3 linked regions of the Arabidopsis thaliana genome follow. The protein of the gene in region 2 binds, or shares a complex with, the protein of the main gene of each other region. Each region holds a gene or a part of one and is shown on either strand. Other genes may lie near its edges. A codon is read from its position in the direction of its gene.

Evidence for each region.
Region 1: the proteins of COP8 (region 2) and CSN6B are in contact, whole or in part, in a cryo-EM structure (PDB 9IS6), measured with the Arabidopsis thaliana proteins. Residues at the interface, in NP_199111.1 of Arabidopsis thaliana: Gln205 (codon at 3,998), Ile206 (codon at 3,995), Arg243 (codon at 3,643), Tyr249 (codon at 3,625), Lys250 (codon at 3,622), Asp251 (codon at 3,534), Glu252 (codon at 3,531), Arg253 (codon at 3,528), Tyr267 (codon at 3,263), Leu268 (codon at 3,260), Glu269 (codon at 3,257), Glu366 (codon at 2,672), Leu367 (codon at 2,669), Trp370 (codon at 2,660), Gln373 (codon at 2,651), Ile374 (codon at 2,546), Leu377 (codon at 2,537), Ala380 (codon at 2,528), Leu381 (codon at 2,525), Asn382 (codon at 2,522), Ile384 (codon at 2,516), Leu385 (codon at 2,513), Met388 (codon at 2,504), Met393 (codon at 2,489); in NP_567746.1 of Arabidopsis thaliana: Ser7 (codon at 4,570), Leu9 (codon at 4,564), Gln66 (codon at 4,393), Arg69 (codon at 4,384), Tyr108 (codon at 4,187), Glu159 (codon at 3,947), Ser160 (codon at 3,944), Glu161 (codon at 3,941), Phe162 (codon at 3,843), His163 (codon at 3,840), Val164 (codon at 3,837), Leu222 (codon at 3,482), Arg225 (codon at 3,473), Ile226 (codon at 3,470), Val228 (codon at 3,464), Leu229 (codon at 3,461), His232 (codon at 3,452), Lys241 (codon at 3,235), Gln250 (codon at 3,208), Leu254 (codon at 3,196), Ser257 (codon at 3,187), Leu258 (codon at 3,184), Ala260 (codon at 3,178), Ala261 (codon at 3,175), Phe266 (codon at 3,160), Asn269 (codon at 3,151).
Region 3: the proteins of COP8 (region 2) and CSN5B are in contact, whole or in part, in a cryo-EM structure (PDB 9IS6), measured with the Arabidopsis thaliana proteins. Residues at the interface, in NP_199111.1 of Arabidopsis thaliana: Gln368 (codon at 2,666), Trp370 (codon at 2,660), Asp371 (codon at 2,657), Ile374 (codon at 2,546), Ser375 (codon at 2,543), Leu377 (codon at 2,537), Cys378 (codon at 2,534), Asn382 (codon at 2,522); in NP_177279.1 of Arabidopsis thaliana: Lys248 (codon at 3,125), Trp250 (codon at 3,119), Val251 (codon at 3,116), Ser255 (codon at 3,104), Ser257 (codon at 3,098), Leu260 (codon at 3,089), Gln328 (codon at 2,539), Lys331 (codon at 2,438), Phe335 (codon at 2,426), Asn336 (codon at 2,423).

What each region holds. Positions count from the first base shown.
Region 1 is NC_003075.7:13,353,003-13,359,816, reverse strand, and holds CSN6B (COP9 signalosome subunit 6B), read right to left. Parts: upstream 4,826-6,814; 5' UTR 4,589-4,825; coding exon 4,291-4,588; intron 4,211-4,290; coding exon 4,122-4,210; intron 4,035-4,121; coding exon 3,941-4,034; intron 3,846-3,940; coding exon 3,784-3,845; intron 3,694-3,783; coding exon 3,615-3,693; intron 3,524-3,614; coding exon 3,431-3,523; intron 3,241-3,430; coding exon 3,140-3,240; intron 3,011-3,139; coding exon 2,955-3,010; intron 2,573-2,954; coding exon 2,491-2,572; 3' UTR 2,222-2,490; downstream 1-2,221. Other genes in the region: WRKY34 (WRKY DNA-binding protein 34), read left to right, coding at 267-584, 670-1,367, 1,455-1,613, 1,690-2,221. UniProt on the Arabidopsis thaliana protein: Component of the COP9 signalosome complex (CSN), a complex involved in various cellular and developmental processes such as photomorphogenesis and auxin and jasmonate responses.
Region 2 is NC_003076.8:17,234,999-17,243,463, forward strand, and holds COP8 (Proteasome component (PCI) domain protein), read right to left. Parts: upstream 5,819-8,465; 5' UTR 5,652-5,818; coding exon 5,522-5,651; intron 5,384-5,521; coding exon 5,232-5,383; intron 4,962-5,231; coding exon 4,858-4,961; intron 4,770-4,857; coding exon 4,709-4,769; intron 4,252-4,708; coding exon 4,159-4,251; intron 4,071-4,158; coding exon 3,970-4,070; intron 3,729-3,969; coding exon 3,620-3,728; intron 3,535-3,619; coding exon 3,490-3,534; intron 3,267-3,489; coding exon 3,198-3,266; intron 3,101-3,197; coding exon 3,009-3,100; intron 2,935-3,008; coding exon 2,832-2,934; intron 2,709-2,831; coding exon 2,649-2,708; intron 2,547-2,648; coding exon 2,472-2,546; 3' UTR 2,155-2,471; downstream 1-2,154. Other genes in the region: AT5G42960 (outer envelope pore 24B-like protein), read left to right, coding at 186-389, 659-1,015, 1,400-1,480; AT5G42965 (Polynucleotidyl transferase, ribonuclease H-like superfamily protein), read left to right, coding at 1,738-2,127; TRX3 (thioredoxin 3), read left to right, coding at 7,774-7,860, 8,353-8,465. UniProt on the Arabidopsis thaliana protein: Component of the COP9 signalosome complex (CSN), a complex involved in various cellular and developmental processes such as photomorphogenesis and auxin and jasmonate responses.
Region 3 is NC_003070.9:26,850,551-26,856,606, reverse strand, and holds CSN5B (COP9-signalosome 5B), read right to left. Parts: upstream 4,202-6,056; 5' UTR 4,048-4,201; coding exon 3,658-4,047; intron 3,548-3,657; coding exon 3,266-3,547; intron 3,195-3,265; coding exon 3,047-3,194; intron 2,943-3,046; coding exon 2,857-2,942; intron 2,615-2,856; coding exon 2,537-2,614; intron 2,445-2,536; coding exon 2,352-2,444; 3' UTR 2,188-2,351; downstream 1-2,187. Other genes in the region: AT1G71240 (chromosome-partitioning protein, putative (DUF639)), read right to left, coding at 168-275, 370-520, 609-840, 926-1,118; AT1G71235 (uncharacterized protein), read right to left, coding at 1,385-1,584, 1,802-2,048; EBS1 (EMS-MUTAGENIZED BRI1 SUPPRESSOR 1), read right to left, coding at 4,877-5,071, 5,146-5,298, 5,475-5,589, 5,662-5,705, 5,785-5,925, 6,012-6,056. UniProt on the Arabidopsis thaliana protein: Probable protease subunit of the COP9 signalosome complex (CSN), a complex involved in various cellular and developmental processes such as photomorphogenesis and auxin and jasmonate responses.

The DNA.
Region 1 (6,814 bases), on a different chromosome or scaffold from region 2:
TAAAAAGTCTGATGGGTGTCACTTATTGCATGTATATTAGTAAATCAGGTATTAAGCACTCTTTTATCTTCATTGTTATAAGGTATTAATCACTCTTGTATCTCCATCAAAAGACTTATTGCATATAAAAAAAACTGCTCTGTTTCCATTTTAATTACAATAATTTTTTAAGATTTTAGTTCCATGTTAACTGCTCTGTGTCATATATGTAACACCTAATCACGTTTCAGCTTGAGCCCAAGTTAAAGCTGAAACTTGGGTTTGCAATGGCTGGTATTGATAATAAAGCTGCTGTAATGGGAGAATGGTTCGACTGTAGTACTACTAACCACAGGAAGAGATCGAAAGCGGAACTTGGTAGAGAGTTTTCTTTAAATTACATCAAGAATGAGGATTCTTTGCAAACCACCTTTCAAGAAAGTTCACGAGGAGCTCTTCGTGAAAGGATTGCTGCGAGATCCGGGTTTAATGCACCGTGGTTAAACACTGAGGATATTCTTCAGTCGAAATCTTTAACCATCTCTTCTCCTGGTCTTAGTCCTGCAACTCTGTTAGAGTCTCCTGTTTTCCTCTCAAACCCTTTGGTAACTTTTTCTTTTCAACATTTCATTATGGTCTCTCTCTTTCGTGAATCAGTGCTCTAAAATCTCTTATCATTTGTAAGCTCAGCTATCTCCAACAACCGGGAAGCTCTCATCAGTACCTTCTGATAAGGCTAAAGCTGAGTTATTTGACGACATTACCACATCCTTAGCCTTCCAAACCATTTCAGGAAGTGGCCTTGATCCTACTAACATCGCTTTAGAACCCGATGATTCCCAAGACTATGAAGAAAGACAGCTCGGCGGTTTAGGAGACTCGATGGCTTGTTGTGCACCTGCAGATGATGGATACAACTGGAGAAAATATGGACAAAAGCTAGTTAAAGGAAGTGAGTATCCGCGGAGCTATTACAAGTGCACGCACCCGAATTGTGAGGCCAAGAAGAAGGTTGAACGGTCTCGGGAAGGTCATATTATAGAGATCATATACACAGGAGATCATATACACAGCAAACCTCCACCTAACCGCCGGTCAGGGATTGGATCATCCGGTACTGGCCAAGACATGCAAATAGATGCAACCGAATACGAAGGTTTTGCTGGAACCAATGAGAACATAGAATGGACATCACCTGTATCTGCAGAGCTCGAATACGGAAGCCATTCAGGATCAATGCAGGTTCAAAACGGGACTCATCAGTTCGGGTATGGTGATGCAGCAGCTGATGCCTTATATAGAGATGAAAACGAAGATGATCGCACGTCCCACATGAGTGTTTCCCTGACTTACGATGGAGAGGTAGAAGAGTCCGAATCAAAGAGAAGGTATAAAAAGTTGCTCTAGTAACCATTATAATACTTAGAAAGACAAGACGTTCTGACTTCTGAGCTCTGATGGCATTCCCGTATCAGGAAACTAGAAGCTTATGCAACAGAAACGAGTGGATCAACCAGAGCCAGCCGTGAGCCAAGAGTTGTGGTGCAGACCACAAGTGACATTGACATCCTCGATGATGGTTATCGCTGGCGCAAGTATGGGCAAAAAGTCGTTAAAGGAAACCCGAATCCAAGGTTCTTGTATCCAAATGCTCTGTTCTGCTGCTATCCCTTTGTTGAATTTAATAAAATCAGTTTTCTATGTTTTCAGGAGCTACTATAAATGCACAGCTAATGGATGTACCGTAACGAAGCATGTAGAGAGAGCCTCTGATGACTTCAAGAGCGTACTAACAACTTATATAGGCAAGCACACCCACGTTGTACCAGCAGCACGCAACAGCAGCCACGTCGGTGCAGGCAGTTCAGGGACTCTCCAAGGCAGTTTAGCGACTCAGACCCACAACCACAATGTGCACTATCCAATGCCACACAGTAGATCTGAGGGACTGGCCACAGCCAACTCATCTCTATTTGACTTCCAGTCACACCTGAGGCATCCTACAGGTTTCTCCGTTTACATAGGCCAATCTGAGCTTTCTGATCTTTCAATGCCTGGTCTAACTATTGGGCAAGAGAAGCTTACCAGCCTGCAGGCGCCTGACATTGGGGATCCAACTGGCCTAATGTTGCAGTTAGCAGCACAGCCGAAGGTGGAACCAGTGTCACCACAACAGGGACTTGATTTGTCAGCGAGCTCATTGATATGCAGAGAGATGTTGAGTAGATTACGACAGATATGAAACAAATCTCTTTGTTCACTGATTGCTCAAATTTTTGAATAAATGAAAAATTGAGAGAAGGTAAAAGCTGTTTTGTTTTTACAGTCTTGTCGCAAAATTTAGTTAGGCCTAAACTTAGCTTCTGTCTAGACAAAGCTTAAACAGAAGAAAAGCTTCCTAGCTGTTTGTTTGGTTCCGAAAAGTGAAATGCCTTAAAAGAGTTCTAAATTTTCACTTAGGGACCAGACCACCAAAAGAAAGAAAAGGTTTTTTTACATTGAAACTAATCTTTACATGAACGCAGTCCTACCACCTCTTCGGCTGTGTTTGTCGTATGCAGTGTTGAATTTGTCAACCACCTCGTTCATGTTGCTGCATTTTGGGGGGAAAAAGGAGAGTAAGAGATCAAATATACAAAGGATTCTTTCAGGACATTTCGTTGGAATGAAATTGACATATGGATTGGTCAAGGTGTAGCACAAGATTAGATTTTTTTTTTAAAAAGAAGCTTATATTCCCTTAGCTACTACAGGCTCAGTATCTTAATTATAACAAGGATAATTGAGCAAGGTCCTAGATTTAGTTCTTAATCTAAATAAAACAAACTATCTCAATGTCAGCCTCAACCAAGTACTGGTGATTTCATCTGTCTTGGTATCGTAAAACATTGCATTGTATCAAGCAAAAGATTTGCATGCATGTCCATCATTCTTTTATTCAAATAGTTAAATGGAATAGCGTGTCGAGCACATACCTGGTACAATTCGTGATCATTGCTAGGTAAGACATCAGCAATTTGTCGTTGTACTCCTGCAAAAGAAGAGAACATCATATTTATAAAGATATCATTCACAACAACAAGCTACATTAAGAATTTAAGAGATTCGAAGGCCACTTTATTTAACCAACATTGCTAGAAAAAGGTAAGGTACTACTTACCATCAAGAAATTTTCATTGAACTTCTCTGATTCTGCGGCAGGCAAACTTCTGAGCAGACTAGATACTTGTCTCAGAACTGAGTTCTCACAAGGTTTATCACCTAGATGCAGAATCACATAAGTCATTAGTACCACATTACTCTTGCTCAAAATCATCTTCTAACACCCTTTTAATTCTTTCTTCCCCGTAGGAAAACACATAGAAATATTCTAAGATCAAGGGACAGGTCACAAAAGCTTGATTAACAAATTGAAGAGGGACCGAGAGTGGGGACTTGAGCAAGAATATACCTTTCTGCATAGCGACAATATGCTGGTATAGCACTCTGATTCTGCTATTAAGCATCTTGATGGCACTATGTATTCCAGTAAGATGAGCAGCCACTGCACAAAATCGAGGAATCAACCTAAAATTCCATGCAGATGAAAAAGAAAGAACAGATTATGATAAATATGAAGTGATAATAAAGCTTACACTGAGTCGCAGCTGAGCCTCCATCAGATGGCTTAAGATGTGCAACATGATCAACAGATATTCTTTCAGCTTCAACTGTCTGCACGCGTTTACAATCATTGCAATGTTATTGAAAGTCCACTCTCATATCACATAGATAGATTACAGATCAAGTGGCCTAAACACATACCTCAATTGTGTAGCTGGTATGCACGAAAATCGACTGAGGAATTCCATCAATGACATGAAATTCTTCAAATTTTGAAAACAATCAAAAAGACAGGATTAGCAAGATTATAATCTATAAAACAATAAGACAATCAGTGATGCAAATAACCAATTTTTACCGCTTTCGTAGATAGTCACAGGAAGATCCTTCTGTGCATGATTGATAGCAGGATTTAAAAGAACATACACAGGAGATTCATTAATGTCCATCAGCTGTAGATGAAAACCTCAACAAATCAGTACAATGAGAATCCTAAATTCAATTAAATTTATATTAAACATTAAAGCTACACTACTCACAGCTTTGTGGATATGCATATCAGATTCGGTAGCGTCACTTCCCGTAGAATACCATCCCAATACGTAGAAGTCAGGGAACACCTTCTTATCTAAAAAATAACAAAACTCACAAATTAGCAAGAGTATCAAACAATCGACAACAAAAGTGAGCGAGTGTAAGTAAACTTACAGAGTTCTTGCTTCTTCTCGAGGAAGGATCTGTCGAGAGTATCAAGAGCAGGATCGAATATCAGCTCGAAACTGTTGAAGATCTCAACCGTACGACCTCTCTGGAGACCGATGACGCAGCCATAAACCCTAGGGTTTTGCAGTAACATCGCGTCGGCGTTGTTGGAGCCATTCCCGGTGGCGCAAGAAGCGGCGGGAGGATTAAGCTGAGTTTTAACCCTAGTGAAGTGATCGGATATGTTAAGCATCACCAGAGGATGTAGCTTGAACGTGAGACCGCTCGACGAAGAAGGCGCCATTGTTGTCGCTCTCGATTTTTTCCCGGCGCTTGTCGTTGTCCTCCTTTAGTCCCAAATTCTGAAATCGGATCTTAAACTCGGGTCATGAATCTTTATATAGTCTTGGCCTCTTGGGCTTTCCTTCTAAGTTTAGCCCATATATAACTTTCTTTTGTTAGAAAAATAATGGAAAAGATTATAGCATGTACTTAATTTTTTAGCGTTTTAGTATATATTTATAATTTGAATATAAATCTTTGAAAGAAATATCTATTTTTTTAATATGAAATTTCTTGTATTTTAATGAATTTGAAAAATAATTATGATTGGATTTTGAATCATTTACTTCTTTTTTTTTGGTTTGAGTATATAGAAATAACATAAAGATCATAATGAATTAATTTTATTTAATATTATTGGATATGTTTGTAAGTGTTACTATTAAAATTTTATTATGTGTGTAGTCTGTTTTAATTCTTCTTTTCGTAATATATATATATATATATATATATATTGATATTTTAAACTATTTTTAGTTTATATAACATATCTTTAAATATGTTTCCTATGTTGTAAGTAGTACCTATCAATATTTTACAGAATATTACAGTTTTGTATTCTGAATGCAATCTTTTAAATTAAATTTCATTTAAATTTCATAAAAATAGTTAAGGCTACATTTAAATCTGTATTATTGTTATTTCATTAATTAAAAATATAACTGTATATAGTTTATGAGAAATCCCACATTAAAAGTGGAAATAGAATATGAGTAATATACAGTATATAAACCAAATCTACTCATAAACAATTAGTTTTGAGTTTGGAACCATAAAACTTAATATAGTAAATTGATAAATATGTTATTTTAGATTCTATATATACCATATATAACTCCTAGTCTCCTATGATATATCTGTCATTACATCGTAAATTGCTTATCACTAGCCAGTAGCCACCAGCCGCAGCCTCTGCACCCTTACTCATATCATTAACACATTGCTGGCTTGCAAGGTACAATCTTTAGTTATGTCATTCAAGTCTTCATATTACGGTAGATTTTTCCAACCGTATTGTTCAAACAATTGTATCCGACAATATAATCATGCATGGGATCTCGTCAAACTCTAACGACATGCTTTTTGACTTATGATAACTTTTTTTCTTTTCTTCAGTCAATCTTATCAAGTCATCGTCTACGCTTTTTTCCACCATCGCCTTCACTTTGAAGAAGCGTGAGTGTAGGTAGTGCTATATACTTGTGGGAAATTTGGGAATATGCTCATTTACATTTTTACATGTATAGACATAAATCTTTAGGTTGGATATGTGACATATTATTTATGATTCTTTTTTCAATTTATATAAACTAGTAGACCACGATTTAGTTTTCTCACTGATTAGCAAATGATGGATTTGGTCCGTATTGAAAATAAAAGACATATATATATATATATGTGTGTTCCGTTTTCCTGAAATCAACTGCAAAAAGTTTTCAACAAACGATTAAGAAAAATGAAAGTGACACATTAACACGTTAGATAATGCATTAACAAAATATTCTTTCTTTTCTTTTTTCTTCATTCTTTTTACCTTCGTTTATAGGAGGGAAGAAAATGAACCAGAATTTTGTTGATATTGAAAAACCAATCCGAATAAAGAATCTACGAAATGACACTATACTAAACTCGTTCTATGGTAGAATGTCTTTGCACCCGATAGCAAAAGTTATTGTAGAAAACTATTTTATACCTAAACAATTCACAAACCTCGGAGAAATGATATTGTTGTATATTTAGAAATGTATATCAAAAGAAGAAAATAGTCTTTAGTGGACACTGACAGACAACGACTAGTTTTATATGTAACCATCAGTTCATCTTTCTAGATAAAACCAATGTTAAACGCAACTGCTAATCTCTTCTTCTTTTCTTTTGTCAACCACCAAGGCACCAACTGCTAATCTCTTTAGACTCTAGAGATAGCGAAATATCTTCATTATTTCATAATATACATAACAATTTTATTAATCCTTAATTCAAAATTGCTTGGAAAACACTGATGAAATTAAGCATCTACTAACAGAAAGTTTTGTAAATTTTCAAAAACTTTCTCCTAACGTTCCTCTCGGAAATTGGGGTTATCTATTCTTTAATGCTTTCTGCTGTTGCTTAAAGTAGATGTTTCTTTTTTTCACGCTATAACCCATATAAGTATAATCATATACCAATTAACTAATTCTCCATG
Region 2 (8,465 bases):
AGTGCCACTTCACACACGTGCCAACTCGCACATGCGAACGAAGAACACGCAACGGAGAATAATAAACACCGTCAGCTTTTATCGTCATTTTTCGCCGCTCTCACCGAACCTCTGCTTTCTCTCTCTCTCTCTCTCTCTCTCTCTCTCTCTCTCTCTCTCTCTCTCTCTATCTCTACTGTGCGAAAATGGCGATGAAGGCTTCTATCAAAGGCAAGTACGATACTGACAAAACCAGTGGAATCGGTTCACTTGCTTTCAACGCCGGCGATATTAAGCTACGCGCCACCATGACCGATGCTACTCTCGTCGCCGGTCCTACTTTGACCGGTCTCGCTCTCGCTGTAGAGAAGCCTGGTTCCTTCATCGTCGAGTACAACGTCCCTAAAAAGGTCAGAACAACTCTTTTGATTTGAGTCAAAGCAAACAAATCTTAGAAATTTTTCAATTCCCATGGAAATGAGATTGATTGCTTACGATTAAACCTAGGATTCAAGTCAAAGCAAACAAACCTAGAAATTACGCAGCTAATGCTTGAATTGAAGTAGGATTTAGGATTCTGGAGTTTAGGGTTTTTAGATTCTCCACAAGTTTAAAGAGATTTGCAGGCAGACATTTAAGAATCTATGTGCTTAACTATGTTGGTGATTTTGGTTTACAGGATGTTAGGTTTCAGTTCATGAACACAGTAAGAATTGCAGAGAAGCCTTTGAATTTGACTTACATTCATAGCAGAGCTGATAACAGAACAATTGTCGATGGGAGCCTTGTGATTGATTCTGCAAACAAACTCTCTGCTAACCACATGGTTGGGACAAACAACTGTAAGATTAAGTATACCTATGCTCATGGAGGGTTAGCTACGTTCGAGCCGTGTTATGACTTGGCGAAAAATACATGGGATTTTGCGGTTTCTCGAAGATTTTATAGTGGTGATAATGTGAGGGCAACTTATCAGACGTCTAGTAAGTTGTTGGGTATGGAATGGTCAAGGAACAACAAAGCAAGTGGATTCAAGGTAAGAAAGAACATTTTCAGTCGAAAGTTCATATCGTTTACTATATTTTGATGACAATCTTAGTTCTTTAAAGTTAAACGGTGATATCAGTGACTTAAACCTGGTAGAAATAGAATTGATTTGATAGATGAAACTGCTACCTACATGGGATGCATAGCTTCTTGACAATAAGGCATCATCTTTGGGTTAGGATAGTTCATGTATTCTTTGCTGCATCATAATCAGTAATTTTAGATTGTTCTGTGTATTGGCAATCATATTTAGACATTGGATTTGCTTTCTTTTGAGCAACAACTATGTCGTGAAGAAGCTTTACCGCTTTACGAACTTTAGAAATTCCATGTGTTTTGGTCGTTGATGGGCTTTATTTTCTTGTTTCAACAGGTATGTGCGTCTGTGAATCTTGCGGATGAACTGAAAACGCCGAAATTGACCGCAGAAACTACATGGAACCTTGAAATGTAGTCTCTTCTTTACACTACTTAGCTAAGTTTCACTTCAATTGTTTGGTGTTGCAACACATTTTACTAGTCGGTTCTTGCGAATCTTCCGAAATTTTGTTGCAACAGTTTCTCATTATTATTACTAGCAGTTTCGTCTGTTATCATTGATCATTTCTTAAATTCGCATAAGTTTTGATCGTTCAAGAATAAAAATTAAACAACGAATGGGAAAATGTTATATGTAACTACTAGTTTCATCTGAGAAATCATGAGGGGAAAATGTTGTGGCTGGGACTTCGTGCAATCCCGAGAGTTCAGACAGTGTTGGAAGTGGAACTTGAAGCTATGAGATGGGCAGCTCTTTCAATGTCAAGATTTAACTATAAGAAAGTCATCTTTGAATCAGATTCCCAACATCTAGTGTCTCTGTTAGGGGATGATACTGATTATCCAAATTTGGCCCCAAGAATTCAGGACATTAGACATATATTCCAACAATTTGAGGAGGTGAAGGTGATGCATATAAAGCGTGAAGGAAACAGTGTGGCAGATAGAATTGCTAGGGAATCTCTTTCTTTATTGAATTATGATCCTAAAATGTATTCTAAAGGTGCCGGCTTGGATAAAAGATTGTGTGTATTCAGACTCTGTGTAATCACCGTTTGGTAAATGAGAAGTTGTTGTTGAGCCAAAAAAAAAAAAAAAACTACTAGTTTCATCATTCTCTTGCACAAGAAAGGTTCATCTATGCATAAAATAATTTGTTCTGAGGTAAAAATGTACCCTGAACCTCTTTTCAACTTTCTTAAAAATCCTCATTCAATGCCTAATCTTTTCCTCTCTGAATCAATTAACCTAAAGACATAGACATGAATTTGCAAGAAAGTAAATAAGGTGAAAATGACTGTCCCCAAAACACAGCAATTTGGCAAAAACTTTGGCATGAGACTCGATCCGTTGCTCGGCTAATACAAATTAATCATCATGAGGCGATCTCACGGCTTGGGAGTCAATCAGACAGGAACAGACATGCCTTTCTTGGCCATCCCATCCAGAATGTCATTGAGAGCTTGGCATAATCCCGATATCTGCACAGATTCCACTTTTCAGTCATATTCCACGCCAATAAAACAAACAATCATATATAGTTGCTCTAAAGAGACAAAGAGTGGGAGGGAGAGATAGAAAACCTGTTGATCCCATTGTTGTAGTTCCTCCACGTCATCCTCAAAATGAATCACAGCCTCCTCCTGAACAGTAACATAAAATATTAAAACACGTCTAGGAACCTCCTTCTAGAAAATCAACACTAACGAGAATTCTCTTCAGGGCTCTTACATAGCTCAACCAACAAAGTATTTTTTATTGCTTACCTGATCTATGGAACCCCTCATTCGGTCTTGCCCAATCATATTAGCTGCTATCTTCTCCGCTTTTCTTGGATCAATCGCCAACAGAGTTCCCAATTCATCAAACCTAGGATATAAAATAGTTGAGAAAATCAAACAAGTCTAGACACACAAAGAAGATACTAATTCGACATCTCATACCTTATGTTTGTGTAGAGTTTGCTTGCACTAAGAAGGTTATGCTCAATCATAGCACGGTCAAGAACAGTGGATTTGTCAGGCAAAGATGCTTTCTGTTGAAATCAACAGTGTAATAACTTGTTATGAACCTACTTACCAACTCAGATGTTATCCAAAAACTACATCTAAATCTTAATTCACAGTCCATACCTGATGTGGCCTTAGTTCTTCTGAAAAGGCATCAATCTCTGGTCTCCTTAAAATCCTTTCCAGATACACCTATAAAGTTGCATTAAAAAACAAAAAGTTACCATGCATTTCTAACCAAGCCTCTATAAGCTATGGTGAACTTGTTTGATTTGATAATGAATCAAATCTAATAAACATCATGCCGGCTTAAACAAGAGTAATATGTGAGTTCAAACAATACTATATGTCCAATAGCATGAAAATGTATGTTTGTCTACTAGAGGAAACAGTTGTAGGTAATAAGAGATAGAACCTTCTGCAGGATAGGATAAATCTTCAGCTTGGAGCAACGCTCATCCTGTTAATAGAAAGATATTGAGAAATAAAAAACAATAAATAAGCAAGCAGGAAAGTATTCTATTTGTAATCCAAAAGGGAATTACTTTGTATAAAGTTGCAAGAACACGAGAACGCTGAGGACCAGCTCCAGCTAATATGGTACATGTGACAGCAGCTGATAGGGCCTGCTCTAAAGCATTCTCATCAATCTCTCTGAAAAGATTAGAAAACACATTATAACCGTTTCAGAATATGAGATATCACAAAGGTATTGGAGAGAGAAAAGAGGAACACTATTCAATCACAGAGAGGGGAAAAGTAGGAAACTAGCTTTAAATACAGAGTCTCCAAAGATGGATAGAAGATTAATTAATCATTATTCCATCCGAACAAGAAACCAACAGAGGAGAATTTGAAGAAAAGATGTAGCAGAAAGATAAGTCAGTTCACTTACTCATCCCCTATTTGGCGTTGCTCAATCTGAGATATGCCGTAATACCGAAGTGCAGCCTCTAAAAACTTTCTTTTCATGTCCAAAATTCTAGCATAGCAGACCTGAAACAGAAATATATTAAAACTTGAAAACGAATGCTCCTTAATCACCCAGCACATAAATTCTTAGTTTACTTTAAGGTGGTCCAACCTTGTACTGCAAATTCAAAACTTCATTCTGACTATTGCTCACTAAGAAAGAAGCTTTATTTATAAAAGCCTCTGCATTTACAGCATCATCATCCTGAAAATTTCAAAACACAAAAGTATTAGAGAACAATAAAAATTTAACTAAATGTATTTATACAACTCTGCTAGCCTCAATTTACTCTCACAAGCAATAAATAAAAAAGTGATGTAGTGAAGCAGAATAATGCTCTTAACAGTCGATATTCCTAATTTCATGACACTTAGATTTGGTCAAGAGACTTAACTTTAAATAAAATCTCTCTAGAAAAATGTCCAAATATTTGAAGATTGAATCAACATTCAACAACGGGTTTCTTTTGTGCTTTTAAGATCTAACTTCTGTAACTGATTGACACGCACCCACAGAAGGAAACAAGACAAACTAGCTATAAATCATTACTGCGATGCGTAAATTCATCTCATAAACAGAGATAACCGATTTACATGCTTAAAAATTAATGAAAAGGACACAGAATCTATTGTGCATATGTACATGAAAGGGAAAGACAAACCTCGAGATACAAACGAGCAATTTGGATACACTTTGAAAGCTTGAAGTTGTCGTCAACGGCCCTAATAAAGAATTCCGCAAATCCAAAATAAGCAACACAAAAGAACATAGAGAGGAAACTAAAACAAAATTCTGCTCAATGCCACACACCTCATTCCAGAATCCAGATCAATTCCACTCAACATCTGTGCTGCTTTTGACCATTCCTGCTCTGATTCATACAAACCCGCAAGTTTTTCTCTGATAACAAGTGCCTGCAAATACACCACAAACAGTTTCATCTCTTAGAATAAAGAGATTGAAAAACAACACAACGTACATTGTCTCAGTTATCCCAAAATACAGCATCCTTAGTAAACAAATATCTCAAATTAGCTTTCAGTGTAGATTTCACATACCAAAGCGGTACAATAGCAAAGCGACTCTACATACCTCTCAACTTATGTTAAGTAGGTAAACTAATTAGGGTTTAAAAAGTACACGATTGCTGCTAAACAGTAAGGTATCACGAAGAGAAAACAAACCTGTTCCTCAAAGGAAACAACTCTAGGCTGAATCTGGGTAAGAGTAAATTGAGCAATCTCCTTCTGCGTCTCCGGTTCTAATCTCCCAAGCTCTTGTGCGAAAGACTGCAAAAGCTGCCTCGAAACCACCAACGGGACATCATCGGAAAGAACTGGAAAAATTGTGAGGAAGCAAAAATCAAAATCAAACCAGAAATTCTGATATAAACCGAATTCCATAAGAACAAAAAGCAGTTGTCGAATCTCTTATGAAGTTGAAACCATGAGAAAGAAGGGAGATGCGAAATTACTGTGATCGATGAATCTCTGAGCTTGGAGAAGATCGTTGGAAGAGAGAACAGAGGAGAGGATGAGTTTGTACTGTTCGATTTTCTGGCGTTGGTCACCGATTGCAGAAGCGTTCGTCAAAGCTTCATCCATGGCTTCTCTTCTGAGATTTTCTCTCCCGCTTCGATTGAAACCCTAAGAAACCTTACAAGGTTTTGATTTCTCTCTCGCTTTTTTTTTTTTTTTTTTTGGAGTTTGCTCTCTTTTTATATTAAAAAAATAAACGGGGACTAGATTCTGTGCCGGTGATCGGAGAGGCGCTTTACAAAATTTACTTAATATGGTCACAACTCATATGAGATTAGTACCCAAAATAAATTAAAATATATATATATATATATTAAGCATAAATACTATATTTTTTTTTGTTAGTTCATAAATTTTATAATTAATTTGTGATGGTAAGTTTACCAAATTGATTGTAGATTAAAAAAAAAAATCAACAAATAATATATTGTTTAGAAATATTTTTATATGTGAGCCTAAATTACTACAGTAAATCTTTTACACAAATAAAAAAACACGTCGTGATTTGGAAAACACGATGATGAGGTATTTTATGATGACAATACCACGTTTAATATTATGATACCAGATCGGAAAAAGATGATATGTTATGTGTTTTAGAGCTTAGGGAGCAATTTAAGATGGAAACGTAAATAATTATTTGTTGAGAAAGAATCGACTAGAAGCAATCGAAAAATTGATCGAATGGTCAAGATATGACCGAGAAGTCATCGGAAAAGTTGTGAGCCCAAATCTTGAGAGCAATGACATGCAAAATGTTTTGAAAGTGCTCTCATGAATTAAAAGTGAAAAAAGAACCACTCTCTCGTTACATAGAGGGTAGTATATAAAGAAATTTACCTATCTCAGACTAGGAAACCAAGTCTCGCATTGGAATACGACTTTGGTTTAAACATGTGAGCTGACTGACAAATCGATTTTATGTGCTTTACAACTTAGATATAACTGAACATATTGGTATTGGATGAGGTTGGACGATAGACTCATAGACACAATCGTTGTCTCGAAAAATCACGAGTTTCTCTCGCTTAAAGGATTTTTTTTGATGAAGTTTATGGTGATCCCGTTCGAGAACATCACAATTGTTTTTGAATCAACTTTACAGATCCATATTGTAACTAATGATTATAGACTACATAGTTTACCAAAATTACATTTACTCAAAAGAACAGATGCGGTTGTTGATGGCAAAACTTTTTTGGAATGGTAGACATCCCATTGAAAGAAAACAAATTGCCATGGTATGGAATTCATGATAATGATTTAACTCGTTATAGTCTGGACAAATTGTCATGGTAGGGTTTCATTGCTCTTTCTTTGGGTAGTTACCTCAAGATATCTCTTTGTTCTTCCTTGTGATAGTTCCACCTTGATATGTACAACCCCACATTAATCTGCTCATTTCAACATTAATTTTCTCTATTGTTTTTAAATTGTGTGTATAAGATTATTTCACTAACTAGGAAAACAATCCATTTCTTTGACACATGGGCTTTACTTAAACAAAAGCCCAATAACTTGTGTTTAGAAGTCACATGATCAAATCTCAAGACCTATTATAAATTAACAAATTTCATATTGATAAATTTTAAAAGATTTCCTATTACAATATTTAAAGTTGCTACAAATTATAGATTCTTTTGATCTTTTCTGATATTGTTTCTCAAATAAAATATAGGAATACCAAATTACAATATGAAAGTTGCTTCAAATTATAGATTCTTTTCTGATTTTGTTTCTCAAATAAAATATAGGACTGAACTACCAAAGGCAATAATATTCAATGTGACCAACAAAAAAAAAATAAAAAATAAAAAGAAATACTCAAATCTCATAACCTTTTTGACTAAATATATCAATTTCTTCTATTTTCAATGAGCATAAATTACACGCGTCCTCAGAAGCTGAATCCGATTTGCAATTCTTCAATCTCAACCGTTAGATCAACAAATCCGGCATCGAATTCCTCCGCGTGGTTTGGTCCATTTTTTTAATTTGAGTATTAATTCTTTTCCTATTTGACAACATGTTTTATTAATTATTATTATTATTCCATTTGCATTAAAATATAATAAAAAGATGTAAGATTCTCTCCGCCTCCTTCTCTCTATAAGAACCGACACAGAGACGAAGAAGAATAATCACTCGAAAACTCATCAAATCAAAAATCAAACACAGAGAAGAGAAAATGGCCGCAGAAGGAGAAGTTATCGCTTGCCACACCGTTGAAGATTGGACCGAGAAGCTCAAAGCCGCCAACGAATCCAAGAAACTGGTAAAAACTCTCGATCTAAGGTTTTAAATGTTTCTTTCTGATTGATTTCGCTGCTTTATCGTTTCTGATCTTGGTCCTTTTGATTAGAATATGACGGATTCAGAATTAGGTTTGAATTGTCCCCAATCGAATTTTTGAGCTCCTTAATGTCAAATTTATGAACCCTAATAGTTTAATTGATTGTTTAGGAACCCAGAATCTCAGAAATTGAAACCCTAAGAACTTGATAGAAGCATCATTGGATAAAAACATGTTATGTGAATCTCTCAACTATGCATATTCAATTTTATGAATCATCTGCTAGAGATCACATGAAAATTGTCTTTAGTGAACCCATTTTGTATCTATGTTTGTATTATTATCCATGTTCTGTGAAGCACATGAAATGCATACATTTGTTATCTTAATGATGAACCGATGTCGTATCTATTGTTTGAATTATCGATCGGTGTAGCTTGTTTTCTTAAATATGGTTGTGTGGAAATGACACAGATTGTGATAGACTTCACTGCAACATGGTGCCCACCTTGCCGTTTCATTGCACCCGTCTTTGCTGACTTAGCCAAGAAGCACCTCGACGTAGTCTTCTTCAAGGTCGATGTTGA
Region 3 (6,056 bases), on a different chromosome or scaffold from region 2:
ATTGATCTGCTACCCAAAGAGCAGAATACAATCTGATATCACAAACTTTGTTTGTTTATACTATTACCACTATCAACCTTCAGAGCAACAATAAGATTCAATTCGAGAATAAAGAACTTTTGTCTTCATATAAGCTAGACAGACGAAATGAACGGTCTAAGAAATACCTGAAAAGAAGGTTTTCCTGAGGCATCATTGCGTGCATTTCTTTCTTTACAATATGGATTCGCCCACGCGAGCATTGTGATGAATATAAGCCTCTGGAATGCAGGTTCCTATGAAGAGATAATTTTCAATGCTTCAGAAACCAATAAACAATACTCTCCATTTCTGAAACAATAAGTGTAAAGCATCCCAGTTTCCAGATACCTTGAGACACGGATGAAACTCCGAGCTATCCCTCGATAAAAACCTGAAACAGCAATACTCCACCAAGTACCGGGCATCAGTAGATAAAGCTGGAGAAACAATTGTTTCAAATATATCCTGCATTTTCTTCCCAGTGATTCCATTCATCCTGCTTATAAAGGGTCAAAGAAAAATGAATACTTTAACAACAACCACAAAGTGAAGATGATTCAATGATCCTGTGGTTTAGATTAGCTCACCTACTAAACTGTTCAATGGAGATAATAGCATCAAAAGAAAGAAACCCTTTTGGTGTATCACTTCGAACAGTTTGTTCAACTGTAAGAAGTTCCTCCAAGTCTTCAAAATCTTGTTGATCCTCAAGATCAATCTTTTTGAGACTCTGACTCTTTTTCTTCAATGGAGATGTTACATCACTCAGAATTTTCTGTGATTTCGACACCCACTGACTAAATCGTTCTTGTACAACATCTGTCATATAAGAACACCAACATAACTCAGCAGCTGTTACAGAGAACTTCAAGAACCAGAATTCGAAGAGGAAGAAGGGTCTTACTTGTGTCGATATCGTTCAATTTCCATTTCTTCTGAGCAACAATTCGGAGTCTTGGCTTTCGATTAGAAGCACAATTTCTGGAGAAAGAGCAGCGTCGATGAACACGAACTCCATCACAACGGAAACCAATAGGAAAATCTGGAGTTGCAGAAGAAAGTTTCAATCTTTTCAATGCTCCGACTCTCTGCGCCATTTCTGTAGCTGAAAAAAAAAAAGCTTTGGAGAGAAAGAGGCGTACAATAGCAAAACACCACCCTTTTTTTTTGTTGGTCTTACTAAATTATTGCTTTCTAGTTTCATCTTTTGTGTCTTTATTCTCAAATAAATATCAAACCATGTCGACGATTCCTTAACACAATTTTTTCTGTATTATTCCAATTTAATTCATTCCCATTTGCCTACAAATTTGTGTCACACAACAGAAAATAAAAGGTAAACATCAAATTAAGGTCCATAATCTTATTTAGAGGAATACTCGGAAACATGTCCATATGAAGATCTTTTGTCAGTTCTCTTGCTCTCAGAACAAGGTGGAGTTTTCCTCTTATTCGAATGCGAATCATCATCAACATCATCATCAAAAAGGCTGAGATCCTCCACCCCAAGAAGCAAGGGTTTGCGATATTCCATAGTGAAAAAGGCTACAGAGTCACTTTTCACTGTAAACCTATATAGCTCCCATGTTGAACCATTGTTCATAGCAAAACGTGGTATAAATTTATCACGTACATAGTTCCTTCGATGCCGTTCTTTAACCAGTTTCCAAACCCCTTGGTCGGGCACGAACAGCGCGAGAAACAGCCATATGCTATGTTTCTCGCTACATGTCAAATTTGTAGGAAACATATCCGTGCGGAGCTATAGACAATAACTGACTGTTTTCTTGAAGGTTTGGTATCCCCGGACTTCCACGAAGCTCCGGATAACTAAGGCTTTCTAAGATTCTCCGCAATACTACGTCTTCAAGTGTATAAGTTTGCCATGTTGTGTGAAGTGCGTTCTTGATAAGCTTGTTGAAGATGGTCAGGTTGGCAGTACATAGCTCCTTGTGGGCGTCGTCGTCGACAGTCCCATAAGGAACACTTTTCATCAACAAACAAAGACAGAGAAAGATGATTGCCATTGTTAGCCATGTTTTAGTACCACCTATTCACGGACAACGTGAGTGCAGAGAAGGAAAGAGAGAGGGGATAGAGTTGGAAAAGATCACTAGGTTTCTGATTTCCATAAATACAATTTTTGTTTAAGGGCTTAAGATTATTCCTTTAACCCCGACGAATCGAATGGGCTTAAAAACATTTCTTTAACCAAAATCTTCTTCTGTATTATTCTCATTAGCATTATAATTCTTTACACAACAGAAAATAAATGAAAGGACAACAAATGATGGGTCAATCCAAAACTAGAAACCAAAAGAAGAGCAACTTCAATATGTAATCATAGGGTCTGGATCCGACGAGTCAGTGGGAGATTTGTTGTTGGACTGACGCATTGAGTTGAATAATTCATCTTTTATGACCTACAAGTACAACAATGATGGATTTTGAGTCTGTGAAATACACGAACCTTAAGGGAGATATGTCACCATTTCGTTTCAATATTATTACTCACCTGCGACATTAGTCCATGGACCTGTTCCACAGTTATCTTTGCGCTATCCCGAGTTATCTTAGTTAGTTGAGACTCATCCTGAAAGTGATTTAGAACACACGTCAAATGAGATCTTTAACAAGCAACACCCATTAACATTCTCGAAAGTTATATATCTGTACAACCTTCAACAACACTTTCATTTCAACTAAACAGAACACCTCCAGGTCCCAATAACCAAAACATTTGAAGATATATCCTCTTAGTAGCTAGATGTTTACAGAGGCACTTAACTAGCCACCGTAATCGCAATTAAAATTTGATGAACCACTAGGACATACCTCTTTTTTCTTATGAAGGGATGATGGCACAACTCCTCCAAAGCGAGACTGAACCAGATGACTCTCGGCTTGCTCAAGCTTCTCAGCTTCATTGGTAAAATTACGAAAACGATTATATAACACATTACTTGACTGTGACTTGAGAAAAAAAAGTAAGAGTGAATGATTTAGGCCATATCCAAGAGTTTACCTAAGTCTGATATTTGTCCAGCAACATAGTCTCCATTACCCAGCAGTGGAGAAGAAGAAAGAGTGTTCACCCAGTACTTGTTCCATAGTAGATCCAGAAGGTGAGAATCAAGAGATGACTTGAAATAAGTGACATCTAATGAATAGTACTGCCAAAACCAAAAGCCAAACATAAGAATCATGTTGGGACCTTGCACCGAGAAAAATCAAGAAAATGTACCTGTTTGCAGTGAACACCAAAGTCCTCAATCTTATTTAAAGGAATAGTTTGATACTCAGAAACAGGTTCATCTGGAGGCTTATATCCTTTAGAGTATGTTCTGAAAGCACCAATCTCAACCTTACCAGCTGAAACAGTCCTTGTGGGATCAATAACAACAGCTAAAAATGGCTCCTGATGCTGTTGGTTAAGCCTCTGCGTAGAAACATCAATACCGGAGAGCCAGCATCCATATCCAGGGTGAGAGTGATACCATCCAACAACATTCTCCAGCCGCCCCGCCTTATAAAGGTCAAGTTATTATAACCATAATCAATCAAACTGTTCTGACTTATATACAAACTTTCTAAAGAAAAAAATCAAAACTTTGAAGTTTCTTGAATCTCACTTACGAGCTTGTTGGTCTGTGAATACTCAACCATGTACTCATAAGCATCATCCTGAGCATTAACCCTTGTCTCAGTACCTTCCACTGGTAAAGCAAAAGCATCCATAACAATGATAGTATCACCATCGGTCTTACCTTGCATAAGACCCATTATTTCAATTGTACCACCAGAGCGAGCGTGAACCACCATCTTAAGAAGAGCGAGCGCTGAGATCTTGACTCGTTTAAAGTAGTGAGGATCATTCTCCCACGGTTTCTCTTGCTGGAACCTAGTCTGTGAAGTATCGTCGTAGTAGAAGATGTTGTCGGAGGTTGAATCAGGTGAGTCTACTGTTAGAATGCTGTTCTCTAGTTCCCATGTCTTCCTTGCTATCGTCGACGACGAACCCTCCATTCTTTTTCGAATTAGGAATTCAGTTGCAGAAATCTAGGGTTTCATACGGAATCGATGGAGTGTGATCGATCTGTCTGCTGAAGAATTGAAAACTGTGTCAAAAATGTTACTTCGGGGATTGACTTATATATAAGAAGAGAAAAGTGGTGAAAATTAATTCCTCTGGATTCTTCTCTAATTTAGAAATAAAATTTAAAATCCTTTTAGTTTGTTTTTTTTTTTTTTTTTTTGACGGTATTAAAATCTTTTAATTGAATAACACAAAATTTTAAAATCTATTAAACATGATTTACAAAGATATAAACTCCAATAACACTAAATTTTAAAATTGAATTTAAAATCATTAATTAAATAACAGTGTATTAGTGTTGGATTTCTTTCTATTAAAATCCATTAATAAATAACGTCCCCTTGTAAAACCGTAGATTTCTTCCCTCTTCTAAAATAATTTATTGAATTACTTCAGCTTTTCTATCAGAGTGTCAGACCCTTTGCTAAAAGAACACGTATTGCTTTTTATACAGACACTGACACGTCAGTTTTCCGGTTCGGTTTTTTTACTGGTTTGTCGGTTTGGTTTGATTTGAGATTTTGGACGGACGAGTTTACAAATACGTTATGAGTGACTATGTTTGTAATTGATTCAAAATCATATTATACTGATATTCTTATTCTCCTGCAATCTGTTGACTTTATCTTCTGTCTAATTTATGTGAGAGATGTCTAAGAAACTGTAGCTACAAAACTAGAAACCTTATCTAGCAAATGCAAAATAGCCATGATTGTCTAATTTATCTTCTCCTCTTTTGAAACTTCAGGAGCATTGAATTTACAGTTCTGCTTTAGATTCCAAGTCTTGTTCTGTATCTTCAGAGATGTCATTTGATGGAAGAGGATTAGGCTTGTCTGTAGCAGGAGCAGCTACTGGCTCGTTGAGTTCCACATCTTCACCCAAGATTTTTGCTGTGAATTTTCGTGCTTCGAGATCAAGATCGGGCCATTCGGTTACGATTCTTCGGGCACCCTGCAGAAGAACACCGCATTATAACAAACAACGCTTTGTGAGTGTTGTAGATATGAGGAAAGCCATCATTTTACCTGAAGCTTTGGTTCCTTTGTCATGGGATTATTGCAAAGATCGATTGTTCTGGCCTTGGCTTTTGTGGCGTTTCCACACCAGGATTCACACCACAACCACTCTTGGGGAAGTGAAAATATAGGAACAGTATGCTGAGCATAATTAGGAAGATCCTGAAACAAAATAATGACATGCCATCAATATGTTTGAACCTGGAACTCTAAAGATTCAGAGCATGGTGTATGGTAAGAGTCAAATGCAAAAGCCTTTCAAATAAAGTAAAACGATAGTGTGACCACCAAAGAAAGGTTACAGCCCTAAGTATAGAGAACCATATTATACAACTTGCCTGATCTAGGTTGGACAAACTGTTTGGATCCTTGCTAAGCGTCTCATAGAATACTCTTAGATTATCTCCTGCCGCTGTCTCTCGGAACTTAACCAAGTCAACAACGTATAGAGCACTACAGATAGAACAAGGCACATTAAGAATGGGAAAAGCAACAACTTACTGAGGTTCAAGTAGGTTTTTTTACCTGATATGGTATGGCCTACCACGTAAATGTTCTTTCCAGAAACCCTGTTCAAAGCAATTGAGAATGTAAGAGTATGGAAACCAAAACTACCTCTACAAGCAAAACAAAAAGATTAATGTTTACCTGTTTCCAAAATTTATAGCCATCCATTTCCCTGTTGTTGTCACAAAAAGGAGTATACGCGAGAGGTCTTCCTTTAATATCCATATCATACAGTTCTCCCATGTCTGTCCTTATAATTTGATCTGCGTCGACAAATATAACCTACAGAACACATGTCGAATACCTTATAGTGACATCTTCCAAGCATCAAAATCGCAAGAAAGAAATGAAAATATGATCATCTGTACCTTTTCCAATGAGAGAGGAAATATGACATCAAGGAAAAGAATTTT